Linked DNA regions of Astyanax mexicanus. The protein of the gene in region 2 purifies or fractionates together with the protein of the main gene of each other region. This does not show direct contact. Links are inferred from orthologs where the notes say so. Each region holds a gene or a part of one and is shown on either strand. Other genes may lie near its edges.

Region 1 (7,728 bases), on a different chromosome or scaffold from region 2:
CTCCAAAGCTCTGGCTTCCTGAAGGTTGGTGGGGGATTTGTTGGAATCATGAAAATAGCCTAATAAAGAGGAATGGGGTTAGAAAAGTATAAAAGAAGCATTCTTTTCACTATTCAACATAAACTTTAAAATGCGTACATAAAACTCACTCTCATTGGATGAATATCTGCATAGGGAGGCTTGCCCTCTGCCATTTCTATGGAGGTGATGCCAAGGGACCAGATATCTGCCACACAATTGTAACCGATCTCCTGAATCACCTCAGGAGCCATCCAGAAAGGAGTGCCAATTACAGTGTTCCTCTTTGCCATTGTATCCTTTGATAGAAAAGGAAACATAGCTCAAAATGAGCATACTTGTGTATCAGCACTGCAAATGAATGTCCCTTCCCAAAAAAAAAGCCCTCAACACTTACAGTAAGCTGCCCAGCCACTCCAAAATCAGCAAGTTTAGCATGCCCCTCAGTGTTAAGGAGAATGTTCCCAGCTTTGATGTCCCTGTGAATTTTCCTCATAAAGTGCAAATACTCAAGGCCCTTCAAGGTGGATTTGAGGATGGTAGCGATCTCATCCTCTGTGAGCTACAAAAAAGGGGAAAAGGGATTGTTAAGTTTACACTGAGACCAAAATCAAAGCAACTTCCCTTCTTTCCAATAACCATGTGATAAATGTACTTACTGTTTTATTACGTAATCTGATGATATCAGACACAGAGCCAGCACCGCAGTACTCCATAACAATCCACAAGTCTGTATTCTTGAAATAACTGCCATAGTACTTCACCACATAGGGACTAGACAAAGGGGGAAAAGCTTATTTGAATTTCTTAAAAGTAATGCTATACATTTCTAAAAAAAAATTATATCTGTATCCATAGAACTACCTATGTAATATACTCTGTGTAGTAGAGGGATGTGAACTTTTACCTGTCACATTGCTGCATGATAGAAATCTCCTTAATGATTTCCTGCAGGTCAGACTCCACAGGAACCTGCTTAATGGCCACTACCTGGCCTGATTCTTTGTGAATGGCTTTAAATACACTGCCATAGGACCTACACAGACAAGTAGCAGATTAAACAAGCAAATTAATTTAAAATTCATCAAAGACATCTATCTACCTGATAACAAAATACACAGGTCAAACTATCTAATCAAACACAGACTTCCCTTTATTACAAATGTATTAGATATTTGGTGTTCAAAGCTGGCCTATGTGCAACTGGATTAAAAGGTTGGTTACACCTAACAGAGAATCAGAGGTGTTTATCTGTACACTTTCTGAGTAAACTCTCCATTTATATGCATGGTTCATGTACATGTAACATCACGAGCATGTTTACATTATCACTTAGTGTAAATGTAACCATGACAATAACAACAGCATCACGTGATGCCATATTAATAATAATTAATAATAATTAATAACATAAATAATATTAATAATTATATTTTAAATGTCTAAGTATAGAACACAAACAAGATATACACGTTTGACCATAATTGAATCATGTTGAATCAATGATTAATTATTGTAAAGTCAATGTGCACACAAATTCTGATGTTGGAGGTCAACATTGTTTCAATGGATGTTGAATGGTGATTCACTGTCTGTTTGCTATCTTGGTCTTCATTGCACATTTCATTTTATTCATCAATGTAAAATACAATACAACAGTTAAAATGAACTGTATACTGAAAGCATTGTAGTCACAAATTTAATCTAGTATTATTTATTTGTTTGTATTTATTATCTATTTATTATTTTATATTTACCATCTGCACCACATTTATGCTACTCCTTTTTAAATGTAAATCAAGTCAGGTTAAGTAGTTTTACTGTCAATACTGCATATGTACAGGACATTGAAATTGAAACATGGATTGAAATTACTTTACTCTCTTTCCCAAAGGCACAAAACAATAGTACAATAGTGATGGGGGGATTAAGAGGGAATGGCAGTACCAGTATAAACACAACCTGTATAACCAAAAGTGTAAATTCAGGGGTATACATATAAATATGTATAGGGATATACAGAAATATTTAAAAACATTTAAATAGAATATAAGGGATATAATAAGTTCTTCCTGAGAAAGTGGCATATACACGGAAAAAAAGTAATCCCAGTGAGTGGAAAACGCCTTAGCCAGGCCAATAAAAGTTGTATTTAATCTGAACAACTACTTCTGGGTTTGAGTCAGTGAAATGTATTTTTCCTGTCTCATTCATACAGTGCAAAACTGCAGACACAATCCTGTCCTGACTGATGGATTAACTAGTCAAGTTAGCGAGGAAAAGCGAATCCATTATATTAATTAAGTGAAGTAATAGGCATTAACTTACCCTTCTCCAAGTTTCTCGAGCACATCGAAGACCTCCTCGGGCTGCTTGGTTAAACTGTCCTCACTGAGTTTCTTCAGTTTACTGTCAGAACACATAATAATAGGTTTAATAACTGAACACATCCAGGTAGAGTAAACTAGCTTGGAGAGCTGGGTGAACTACTGCCACGTTTTTTGTCGTAGTTGGGTTATAGGGACAGGCTCCCTCTGACCTGCTGACGCTTTCAGTTGCTACTGTAAACACTGGCTAGCTCAGGCTAGGCTAGCTAAGCTAATTTAGCAATATAAGAAACAGAAACAGCTGAAGGAAACGGGTAATCTGAGTATATAAACCCGGAGTAAACTAGAATCTAGACATCTATGGATCTGTAAACTTCACATTCAGAGCAGTGAGAAGATCTGAGACAGGAAATCTGGGTGATATGGGAGTCCGGCGGGATATCAGGCCTGTAAACAGCCGTGTTCACAAACTGGGCGATACTCACTTTTTAGGTACCGGCTGCTCCATTGCGCATAAAATAAAGAGTAAATAAAGAGCTAGGGCGTTCTGTCTTATAAACTCAGAATCCTAAAGAACACAGGGAAAACTCATGACCGGGGAACTTGTCGCTAATTCTTCTGTATCTGGAAAAACACTTGGCTCCGCTCTTCCTCCCCGTTTACTCAAAACCTAATGAAGCCGCAGACAACTGACACTCAGGCACCCTTCAAAATAAAAGTCTTAAAACACACATTTTCCTTTTAATAGATTTATGTTTGAGTAAAATGAACGTTGTTGTTTTATTCTTTAAATAACATACAACATTTCTCCCAAAATCCAAATAAAAATTTTGCCATTTAAAACATGTATTTGAATGAATAAGAAATGACTGAAATAACAAAAAAGATCCAGAACTTTCAGACCTCCTATAATGCAAAGAAAACAAGTTCATATTCATAAAGTTTTAAGAGTTCAGAAATCAATATTTGGTGGAATAACCCTGTTTTTTAATCATATCTTCATGCATTTTGGCATGTTCTCCTCCACCAGTCTTACACACTGCTTTTCAATAACGTTATGCCACTCCTGGTGCAAAAATGTAAGCAGTTCAGTTTGGTTTGATGACTTGTAATCATCCATCTTCCTCTTGATTATCACAGAGGTTTTTAATTAGGCAAAATCAAAGAAACTCTTGATTTTAAATGGTGTTTTATTTTTTCCAGAGCTGTATATAACCTGCACCTTTCTTTTTAAATTTATTTTTGTATACAATACAATCCAACAGCCTAAAATAGACACAATGTCAAATACACAGCATAATCAACATCACAATTACATAAATTTTTTTTTAACAAACCTAAACAAACAAAACAAATAGAATAAAGAATATTGGGAATCAAATAAAATTGAAAAACTTTAAAATATCAATGGATTTGTGACATTTTTAATTTTTAATTTTTCAAAATTAGTCAGTAAATGTATATAATTATATAAATCTCAATAAACAAAAGTTTGGAATAAGGGTATCTTTTTAGCAAATTTAGTTTTGTGTATAAAAAAATGCCCACAAATTATAATTAAATTTTCTATAATTGGTTTTATTATGGTCAAATGAAGGGTCATCAAAAATAAAATATATATTGGACTTTGAGGGGATTTTCCAAACAAAGCAAGAAAAACCACAATAAAACCTTTACAATGGATTCTGTGGCTCCTTTACAATGTAACCTGCATTTAAAACACAGAAAGAGAGAAAAAAAAAACGTGCAGTATCATTTCAAAGCAGTTCACAACATTTATAAAGGAAATTTATTAAAATACTGTGGCGGCTCTGGGTTGTGTGTGTGGCTGCCTGTAGGCATGGTGCGAGGATGACAGGGGTGGGGCATCTCCCTTCGGAGGGGTTATGCAGAGAGGGTGGGCACCACTCTGGATCTGCCATCTGGGAGACACACAGCTGGGTTGGTGGCCTTTGGGCTATTTTAGGTCTGTGGGTTAATGGTTTTAGCTCTCCTAGTCTTGTTAAAGGCTGTAAGTGAGTGGCAAGCCTGTTCAATAAAGGAGCTGTTGAGCATTCAGCATGAGTCTCACAAGTCTTCCTTCCTCTTCCACGCCACAATACTATATAAAAGCAATTTTTTAATAGCTAGGATTTTGGTGTACATGTGTGCTTGTAGGTTAGTATAAACAGGTTAATTTTTCAGTTAAATATAATTAATAACAATATAATATAAATGCACTACATTTCAGTAAAATCTTATATAACTGCTCAGTAATAAATATCAACCTCAAAGCAGAAGTGATACAGAGACACTTTAGTAGCACGCTCTCTCTCTCTCTCTCTCTCTCTCTCTCTCTCTCTCTCTCTCTCTGTATATATGCAGGTCTATAGGAAGGAAGCGGCCTGTTTATTTATTTAGCTATGTACTTAAGTTATTTATATGTGTCTGTTCAAGGCATGGATATCACATTCACTCCACTCTATTGGAAGTTCAAATGAGGAGACACTGTCTATATATACAGAAAACGAAATAATAATAATAATAATAATAATAATAATAATAATAATAATAATAATAATAAAGAACATCTGATAAGGTTGATGATGGAAAATTATTCTGTCATCAATGTTAATTTAAGGAAGGTTTTAAATGGTTGGGCTGATCTCTTCTACACTCCCAATGCTATTAGGTGAACATAATAAGATTAATATGAATAATACTAATAATTCTAACCTAAATTAGAAGTTTAAAATAATTATTTTCTACAAAGTACAAAGTACAAGCTATAACAATAAAATCCAAACATACACATATATACAAATATACATATTTAATGTAAGTTGTTTAACACAAATTAATTCAATGTCAGTTTGCTATATTGGTCTTTAATGTACCTTTTATTTTAGTTACATGATCTTTTAAATGATAAAATACATCAGATAAAATTAAAAGTATCCTTAGAGCATCATATTTACAAGTTCAACCTAGAATTATTCCTTTAAACATGTTTTATTTGTTTTTATAAGCTATTTTATAAGCTTTTATGATTTTGAATTTCTCCTCTGCACCACATTTATGGTAATCCTATTTGAGTGTAAGAATATTTTAAGAAATATTGTTCATTATAACTCTTTAAACCTTTATGCATCATCCTGTGAAAATTATTACATCAGTGTGAAAATTAAATAATAAACTAGTAAAATAGTAAAAACCATAAATAAGAACATAACATCTGCTCTCTGGTGGACTAGAAAGGTACATACAGATTTCCAAAGTCTGAAACTACTATAGTACAATTTTAAAGGCAACTCATGTTAAAGTTTTGTAAAAACATGCTGTAAACAATACATCCCAGTATTATTTGAATTCAGTGTTATTTTATTCTTTTTTATGTCACTCATTAGTCATCATGTATAAACACAGTATGTTACACTAAACAACCCAAGGCCGTTACTGTTACAGTGACATTACAGATGACATTAATTGTTGACATTAATTGTAATTGGTTGTTGACTGATTCAGAAATAAAGTGCCTGTATTCCTGCCTCTCACAGTGGGTTCTGACAGCGTCAATTGCACTGTCAGCACAGCATACATACATCACACATCACAGCAAATTGCCCTGTCAGTCAGGGCCCATGATCACAGTCAAGGCAGAATCAGAACAGCCCTACACACACACACACACACACACACACAGCTGTATGCAAAACATGTTTACCAAATAACACCAAATGAATTATTTAACATGACGTTTTAGTTCATTTTAATGCATATTTATTGTAACTTCTGTGCAGAAGTTTGGATTAGATAACATAAGATAATAATCATTAGTCCCACATCTGAGATAATAAGTGTTGTAAATGCTCAAATTTTACATATATTTTCTGTAAACCTCTTCAAACCCCATGCTAACAACCAGGACCTACAAGCCACTGCCTTAAGATCTAAATGTGATTGAAACCCACAGGACAGGGAAAGGCTATTAGAAGATAGCCAAGGGGTTTCAGCTTGTGGTTTATGCAGTGAAGAATGTCATTAAATAATTGCAGTTCAGGGGAACTGTGGAAGTCAAAATGAGATTTGTAAGTCCAGCAATAAACAGAAATTATGTGTTTAAAAGGAACTGGATTTTTGTACTAAGAAGACATTGTCAACTGTAAAGCGTGATGGTGGATCTAGCAAGCCTTGGGTTGTGTTTCAGTAGCACTGAGAAAATTAATTTGGATACTAATGCAAAATCTGCCTAAAGAGACAAAACACTTACACAATCTAGTAATAGACCCTAAACAAGCTTAAACAAACATGCTTCTCAGATTTCTCAGAACTAGAGGCCTTTTGCAAAGAAACTACATTAGCTGAAAAACAAATTTAGTTTTATTGTGGGTTTTTTTTTCATATTTTTCATATTTTAATCCTGCTTCTGATATTTGTTTGCATTGTTTGTCATCATTTTTGTCAAAGAGGAAAAAACAATAACAACAACAACAACCATTCATCAACTATCAGAGCTATCAGTAGTGGTAGTAGGAGGAGGAGAAGGAGGAGGAGAGTTTTCAGGCCACTAAACAAGTGCATGAATCTTCTCCCCGACAAAAGCCCTTTTGTGCTTTAATTGAAAGGTTTGGACTATGTCTTGACATATTGCCCATATTGCAACAGTTCAGATCAGGTTTAAATATCTTCATTATATTGGTCGTATTACTGTTGCCTGAGTAGCTGGAAACACATACACAGCATTTGGTATCCTGAAATAGAGGGGTATAGCTGGGAGGAGAGGGGTGGACGTGTGTCTGTGTATATCAGAGAGTGAGAGGGAGGGAGAAGCGGGAGGGGGCGGATATCAAACCAGAGCACAAGAAGCAGATTGCGGGCACCGCGTCAGAGACGAGAGGACACACAACATTACACGGCTCATAATTCCCCAGCCAGAGCAACCAGAGCAGCAGCACCACCAACAGCAGCAGCAGCAGCGGCAGCAGCAAATCCTGCACCTCCAATAAACCCTACACAACCCAGGAGCAGAGACCTAAAAGAACATCAGCAGCATTAACAGACCTTTACAACATGGGGGTCATATAGAGGGCAACTGTCTGTATGTGTGTGGATGTGCAGAAGTGAGTGTGTATGTTTGTGAGCAGAGTTTGAGTGTGAGTGAGGAACCCTCAGAACAGCAGTTAATGAGTGGAGTCCAGAAGAATGAGTCTTGACCCCGTGCAGGTCATGAAGGGCCAGGACCCCATGGCCCTTAGCCCTCCGCCAGCTTCTAATGGAGACAGCAAAGTGTCCTGGGATGAAAAAGAGGGCTTCTGTGACAGTGTGGGTCCCAAAAAGCCCAAATCAGTAAGTTCTGATCACTTCGGATCTTGTTTATGTTTGTGTACCCCTCCTCATTAAAACA
Region 2 (7,906 bases):
AGCAGTGACAATGGGTTTGCACTGTAGAAGCAATGTGGTAAAAAAGATTAGTATGACCCAGAACTGCAATGTATAGTCATTTCAGACTGATCCTGCAGTCAGTGGTGAGGTAGGAGCAAGTTTAATGGGGCAGAACTTCAACAAAACTGATGAACTCTCAGAGAAGAACTCTTTCGCTTACCTGAGTTGGAGTCTGGGAAGGACAAGTAGCAGATGCTGGTTTTCTAAAATAAGAAAGAAGTTGGAAACAAATTGTGTACATGTCAACCAAAAACATCTATAACTGTAAATATTTTTTCAGGATTTATACAGTTTCCAATATCTGAAAACATGTTAAACATACATAAACCATTTCTACCGATTCATTTTTGCAGTACAATTCCTACACCCTGACAGACCAAATGCATTAGATGAGAAGAAACAGTTCTTACCTCTTTCTCTGTGAGCTTTGAATGGTGAGGGTATATAACCTACAAAAGAACAGAATTAGAGCTCATTAAGACTCCAAAATAGTTACAGGTTATGCACTGCAAATCTTACTGTACGCTGTCAACTTGGGTCAAAATCTCTGATCTGGAGGGCTGAAGTCTCTCTGGCAGCCATTCATAAGCTTTGCTAGTCAGTGTGTTTAAGCAGAGAAATCACCAATATCTGAGGGACACTGGCCCTCTAGGACTGGAACTCTGAGAGTCCTGACCCTGTTGACTAATGGTGTCACTGTTTAACTGTCAAAACCAAACACAGGTAAACAGCAAGTTTAAAGACATCAGGATAGTCCATGGTTATGTAGCTTTGAACTGGTCATTTTAAATAGAAATGCTGGACGATATGGGCAAAATTAATATCACAATATACTTCTGCATATTCCGATATCGATATGTAAAAAGGTCACCACATGTATGAAATCACACACTGACAGAGTTAGGTGGTATAGTAAGAATATTATATCACAGCATTTGATAAATCAGACAAAAATTATTTTTATCTAAACAGCATCAAGAACAATCATGACAGCATGACAGCCACAAATAAAAAATAAAACTGTAATTTATATTACAGCAATTATTTAACGTTAATATAGCTAATATTAGTTAATTTTGATGTAATGAAAATATATAACCACAAAGGGAGGTAACATAAAACTTCCTCTAAATCTAACTTCTCTGTGTGGAAGTGTGTGTAGTTGTTTGTGTGTGTGTGTGTGTGGGTGTTTGTTTGGCTAACCTAGCTAGCCAGTTTAGGCTAACAGAAAGGCTAGCTACTGTTAAAGACTATAGATATTACCGTTAGCTTAGCCAGCAAGCTAGATTAGCTAACTACATTATTACATATTTAAAGACATTTAAAGTTTTCATGACTGCTAAATACTTACTTATTCATTAGATAGTAAACAACAACTAGTTTACTAGCTAATAAATATTGCTAAATATCTGTTAACATTCATTAATTAACAGACTATCTAGTTAGCTAAGCTAGCTTTAACTATTTAGCAGTGGTGGCAAATCTACATCCAGATATTAAAAATCCGTTCCCGGATTTTGTCTTAACTGCACGGCCACCTCTGCAACACAGGAGCTGCAGCAGAGCTATACAGACGGTTAGAACAAAAACATGGAGCACACTCGCTCTTTCTGGACCTGGATTTGCCATTTATAGCTATTTGAAGCCTAGTTATGGTTTCAGCTAGTTTCAGCTTGTCAGCTAACCATCCAGGCCACTCAAAATAAACCTATTTATCATTACCTATTCATTTTTTATATATTGTATTAATAAAATGACACATAATAAGATGAATATGATCACCTCCACCGCCTGTCCGAGCTCCAGATCAAACCCCACCACACAGATGCAGTGTAGCCAGGCGGAGAAGCGGTCCCACGGCAGCAGCAGCTGCTGCTCCGGCTCCGGCTCCGGCTCGTCCTCTCCAGGCCCGTCCGCTGGCATTTCCTCCGCGGGAGAAATCTTCAGCTCCCGGTCCTCGCCCTGCTCGGCTTCTTCCATCCGCTCCTCCACCTCCTCCGACCCTCGCAAGGCCATGACTGGAGCCCGGGGTGCCCGTTCGCTCGGCTCGGACTCACTTCGAAGGCTAAACTAACTTAGCCAGCTAGCTTAGCCCACTAACGCTGCGGCTCGTATTCCTGTATTCAGAACGGCGCTTACGCTACCTACGTACACTTACAAAAAAAAAAGCGGATAACGCAGCAACGTACGGTAGATAGCTCAGATCTGCAGATCACAAGGAATCGGGTTAATACTGTGGACATGACTTGTAGATCGCAGAACTGTTAAGTTTTAAATAAAATTATTTTATAATAATCTAATTGTACAGTATATTGTACAATTTATTGACCTTATAACAAAAATAATAAATTATTACAAACAAATAAAACATGGGAAAATAAAATAAATAACACACAAGGCTTTCTGTTTGTCAAAAATGCCATCATAACTTGGGTAATTTTTGGGTACTTTGGGTTATTAATCATTCTAAGACAGTTTTATGTTATATTATACTTTAGCCATTAAAAAAAATATATATATATATATATATATATATATATATATATATATATATATATATATATATATATAAAATATTTAATTTTACAGCAAAAAGATATGTTTTTTATTTTTAATTCAAAATATTAATATATATATATTTGTAGTGAAAGTTATAATCAGAGAGAGGACCAATAAAAATATGTTTGGTTTGACTCTATAACACATATTATTGGTTATTATGAACAAAGAAGAAAAAACTCTATAGAATCTGAAGGCTTCCATTTCTTCTTCACAATTGTTTGTTAACAAATCCACCACAGCTTTTTAGAAATGTGGGTTATTAACAATTATAATGCTTTTTATGATTTATTTGGTCGTATTCTTCAAGACTTGTTCTTTATGAATATAATACCAATCATAACAGCCACAATTAAAAATGAATAAAACAATCTCCACCCTCATTAATACATTATAGGTTATACGTTATAGAACAGTGTCTAATGTCTTCTCCAATAATTCTCTAAAAATAAAAATATATATATTTTTGGTGTGTTTTTAAACTTTAAAACTTTGTTTTGACCTGAAATATAACAAGCAATATAACCAGCTGCTCTTTATTTTGTGTAAAAAAAAAACATTGAAATAAAATTTAGATTAAAAATAAAACTCATAGCAAATATTTGATTTTTAGTTTTCCAATTTCCCAGATATGCTGATGCAAACACGGAATGGAATGGAATTTTATTGTTAGAAAATATTTCAGTCTTTTCTACATATAAACACGTACATGCTTTACAGTTTCAAAATTTAAGAAGCTGATTAATATCTGAACTTCTGTGCAATGACTCAAATGTAACACATACTTCATTTGCATAAATAATAAATCATGAACACACTTACTAATTTGTTCTAATTCACTTCCTCGCCAACGCACGCATGCATCTCAGAGACATTTACCCAGACAAACAAACAGAACAAACAGAAACTGGTCTCAGTCTGGACTGCATGCAGACGGAGCTAAACCCCTTATCGTTAGTTTATTGGGGAGTGGAGATGCACTGTCCTGAATATCACAACTGATTCATCCTATAAATCGTCTAAGACCCTCTGGACTAATAGGATTAGCTGTCCTAAGATTTTGGACTTCAGTATGCTCTGCTGGGTATGACAGATGTTCTGTCTAACCCATGACCCCCTTAATGAACTTGAAGCTAATGTTTTAGTGATAAAAACACTTTGTTTGGCCTGTTATAATTATCATAATTGTAATCTCATCACTTCTAGTTTGATGCTGCTCAGCAGAGGCATCTGTTAGCTGATGTATCAGAACTAGGTTGCTGTGTGATTATCCAAACTATAAAGAAAAATATATGGAATTAGTTTAGCCTTATCTGAGTAATATTCTAATCCATATTATGGCAATAACTTCTTAACTAAGTAAAGAAAAAATATATATGAAGGTCAGTCAATCATCCTAAAGTATCCTAAAGTACAGAGGCAAAGACTATCAAAAATGTTATGATGAAACTGGCTCTCATTAGGACCGCCCCAAGAGAGGATGAGCAAGAGTTACCTCTGTTGTACAGGATAAGTTCATCAGAGTTACCAGCCTCAGAAATTGCAAGTTAACCCCTTAAAATGCCAGGTGTATGTGATCCAAAACCCTTTTTCTGCAGTAAAATAACTTATTTACATTCTGAAAATGTGTGGGCTTTGAAATCAGTAACAGAAATCAATCCCAAATTCTGCATGTTTGAAAATAGACGCAAAAACTAGACAAACATAACGAAACAACAGGTTTGGAGGACTGTTTGATTTGTATTCAGAAAAATATTGATTTTTAAAAAGCAAGTCAGGAAAGAGCCAATTTTATGAATGTATTCATTATATTTTGACATTAGCAGATTCACTTACTTATTAATACAATCACAATTATGATTTTTAGTAATGTCCCTTATCAAACATATAACAGCCTAGAGCACCTAAAAAACAGATTTTTTTATTTCTTGGAGGAATATAAGGATCAGTTTTTTTCAGTCACTGTACTTTTCGTTCCTTTTCCAATTTCTATCTTTCTTTCTTTCTTTCTTTCTTACTACATTTATTTATATTCTGCATTTAAACGCTGCACACTGTAGTAAGGGCTAATACACACAGTGGGCGGAAAGAGAGTGAGTGACCTATCCAAGAACCTCATTTGCAATTCTAATAATTAGCATGCCATTGGTTAACTTGGTCACCCGATCTATTTGGTGATTGGACAATTATTTCGCATCAGCGCTGGTGTTCCCTCCCTCTCTCTCTCCTCTTCGCGAGCCCCGCCGGTTTGTGTATTCCACTCCAGTATGGCGGCGGCGAGTTGCGGAGGAGGATAACCGGAGATAAGTTAGTCTGAATAGCCGCTGACGGACTCGCGGACCGGCTGGAGCACTTTACACACCTTGCTTAGAGTCTCCGGGGCGCGGAGCCTCTAACGGACCCGGAGGCCGGCCTGCGCGTGGCGGGGAAAGGACCAGAAACTGCTGTTCCGTGTCTTTTAGCTGGCTGGCTGGCTAGCTAGCTTAGCATCTTGGGCTAGGCTAGGCTGGGCTAGCCGCGAAGCTAGTGAGCTACTGCTGCTAAGCTAAGCTAACAAGCGGAGTAGGGGGGATTTTGTATCGCAAAGTTTATGAGTTAAGGAATTTGTTGTGCATTTTAGAGCTTAGACTAGTCGACAGCTGGGATTATAAGAGTGTTTTTCCACAAATTAAAGCTAACTAGTTAGCTTTATTAGCCTCTACCTCACATATTTTGCTCCTCTTGTCTAGCTAACTGGCTTTTTGGAAATCTCGTTAGCTAGCTAGGTTAGCTATTTCTTGCTAGCCTGCTGCCCAAGTTTAAACCATAACTACGGAGACAGGTAGCGTTAATAAGTTAACTAACAGTTTGTGAACATGGAGACCAAACAGTTTATTCTGTATGTGTGAATGAGCAGCCCGCAAATAAATCAATTTAATCGGATTAAATATCCTATTTTGAAGTCTTAAGCGATTAAGACTAAATTTCAAAGATGTTTAAACATATTTGTGCCTGAATTGTGTCTAAATAGCTAAGCAAGTGGTGGGTGAGAGCTTGACATTTACAGTTAAGTTAGTTAACTATTGAGAGTAAATTGTTTTTTGAATTTAACGTTGGCTAACTGAGATAACTAAATACTCGATACAAGTTACCCAAGTGTGTAAGACACAAGTTAAACTAACTTAACTAGTTCTAACAGAAAATATAGTTAGTGAGTTGGGGACATAAACATTAGCTAGCTAAATTTCAAAGTGGGCAGTGGTTAACTAACTTGAGCTATTCCAGTTTAGAGAACTTGAGTTGACCTCTTAACTTAGTTAGCTGCTTGTTATTTAAATGCACTTGAATTGAACGAATTCCTCTATTTCATTTATTGAAGCACCAACAAAGACGACGGATTATTTTGATAGATAGCTAAATAGATAGTAACTTACACCTAGGTTGGCTAGAAAGCTTGCGAAGCTGTAGGTTTAGTAGCTAAGCTAGTGTAGGTTTACAAACCTCAACACAACAGGTTTCTTGCTACTAAGTTGACTACCATAACTAGCCAGCAAGCTAGCAAAAGATACAAGCCAGATTTAACGTTCAAGGCTACATTTAAGGCTGAATCTGTGTTTTTGTGATCCTATGGTTAGCCACTTAGCTAGCAAGGTGGTGGAAGCTCATATTGTGAGAATCTGAAGGTAATCGTGGCCTGTTGACGTTTAAACCCAAAGCAATGCATTTTTATGGCCGTGTGGAGAAGGTGCAGTCCTAGCTATAGCTCCATCGCCTTGGGTTCTGTTTGACATCATGGTGGATTTGCGAGAAGAAGGGGAGCAGGGGGGCTTGGCTGGCTCTTCCTTTGGACATTAGCGAGCTATGTAAGCGAGGTTAGTTAGTCGATTTGGAAATATGTGCATGTGCATACGTTTGCGTTACACGAGCCAAACACGATACCGACTGTTTCCCTAAAAGATAGGAAAAGTGGAAGGATTGCCATTCTGGATCAAGAAGCCCTGCCTTTCGCCTCTGGTTGGAGTAGCACTCCCAAGCCGTCGTCTTCATCCATGCCTTCAGCGCTGGCCGTCTTCACCTGCCGCCCGAACTCGCACCCGTTTCAGGAGCGTCATGTCTACCTGGACGAGCCCGTCAAGATCGGGCGGTCGGTGGCCCGGTGTCGGCCAGCCCAGAACAACGCCACTTTCGACTGCAAGGTGTTGTCCAGGAATCACGCTCTCGTCTGGTTCGACCACAAGACAGGCAAGGTGAGTCGTGTGTGAGTGTGAGAGAGTGCTTTAGGCATGCACAAACAGGTCCAGCTGGATCATGTGTATGAAATAGCAAGCTTGCTGTGATGTTTTTGTCCCAAATGAGACCCGTTTTGATTTAGTTAACTAACTAGCAGGTTGCTTTTTCGTGACTGCCTGCTGTGGTTTTGTGATTTTCTTTACGTTTTACTATACTGACTTGTTTGAACTGTAGCTAAGTATACTACGTTTCCAAAAGCACTACCTTACCTATCCAAATACTTGAACTCAGGTGTTCCAATCACTTCATGGCCTTGCACATTTGTGCAAGCATGGTTGGCTCTTAGGATCTCAGTGAATTCCAGTGTGATACCCTGATAGGATGCCACCTGTAAAACAAAGTCCACTTGGACAATGTCCTCACTACTAAATATTCCACCGTCTACTGTCAGTGATGTGTTTGGGGAAGACAGCAACTCAGTCACAAAGTGCTAGGCCACCTAGTGCAAGTGGATGCTGATAGCATAGTGCATTTAGTGCATGTCTAGTTTCTGTACAGTCAAGTGCTCCCGGCCTTCAAATTTTACTGCCTTCTTATTAGCTTAAAGACGGTAGTGTGTAGAGAGGGTCATGCAATGGGTTTCCATGGCTGAGCAGCTGCATCCACGGCATACATTACCAAGCTACATCACCAAGCACAGTGCAAAGCATGGGATGCAGTGATGTAAAGCATGCCACCTCTGTACTGGACTGACAGCTGCCAGGAGGACCTGTCTCCGTGCATTGTGCCAAGTGTCAAGTTTAGTGGAGGGAGGCTTATGATGTGGGACTTCCTTAACTTCCTTACTCTTAATGCTTTAGCATACCAACAGGGTTGGAACTAATTCTTTCTCTCAACTTTATGGGAACAGTGTGGGGATGCCCCATTTCTGTTCCATAAATATTTGGATGGACAGTTTGGTGTGCAAATAACTTGACTGGCCTGCAGAGAAACCTGACCTCAACCTGATAGAACACCTTTTGGATGGGAAGACGCGAGGCAGGTCATGTGGTTTAAAGTCATTTCATAACGGCAAGGATTGTCTTATTTAATGTTTTCCTGTGTGCATAATTGATTG

Evidence for each region.
Region 1: the proteins of slmapa (region 2) and stk3 purify together in Homo sapiens (affinity purification with western blotting; 3 studies listed by BioGRID and IntAct, with this or other methods). This does not show direct contact. The link is inferred for Astyanax mexicanus from reciprocal best matches to the Homo sapiens genes SLMAP and STK3.

What each region holds. Positions count from the first base shown.
Region 1 is NC_064410.1:43,530,890-43,538,617, forward strand, and holds the start of stk3 (serine/threonine-protein kinase 3), read right to left. Parts: upstream 3,029-7,728; 5' UTR 2,854-3,028; coding exon 2,831-2,853; intron 2,428-2,830; coding exon 2,347-2,427; intron 1,055-2,346; coding exon 926-1,054; intron 793-925; coding exon 678-792; intron 581-677; coding exon 416-580; intron 318-415; coding exon 150-317; intron 60-149; coding exon 1-59. Other genes in the region: nt5c1aa (5'-nucleotidase, cytosolic IAa), read left to right, coding at 7,527-7,670. UniProt on the Homo sapiens protein: Stress-activated, pro-apoptotic kinase which, following caspase-cleavage, enters the nucleus and induces chromatin condensation followed by internucleosomal DNA fragmentation.
Region 2 is NC_064431.1:3,494,142-3,502,047, forward strand, and holds the start of slmapa (sarcolemma associated protein a), read left to right. Parts: upstream 1-4,823; 5' UTR 4,824-6,431; exon of another isoform or gene 6,432-6,516; 5' UTR 6,517-6,608; coding exon 6,609-6,806; intron 6,807-7,906. Other genes in the region: dennd6aa (DENN/MADD domain containing 6Aa), read right to left, coding at 182-224, 432-470, 1,804-2,037. UniProt on the Homo sapiens protein: Associates with the striatin-interacting phosphatase and kinase (STRIPAK) core complex, forming the extended (SIKE1:SLMAP)STRIPAK complex.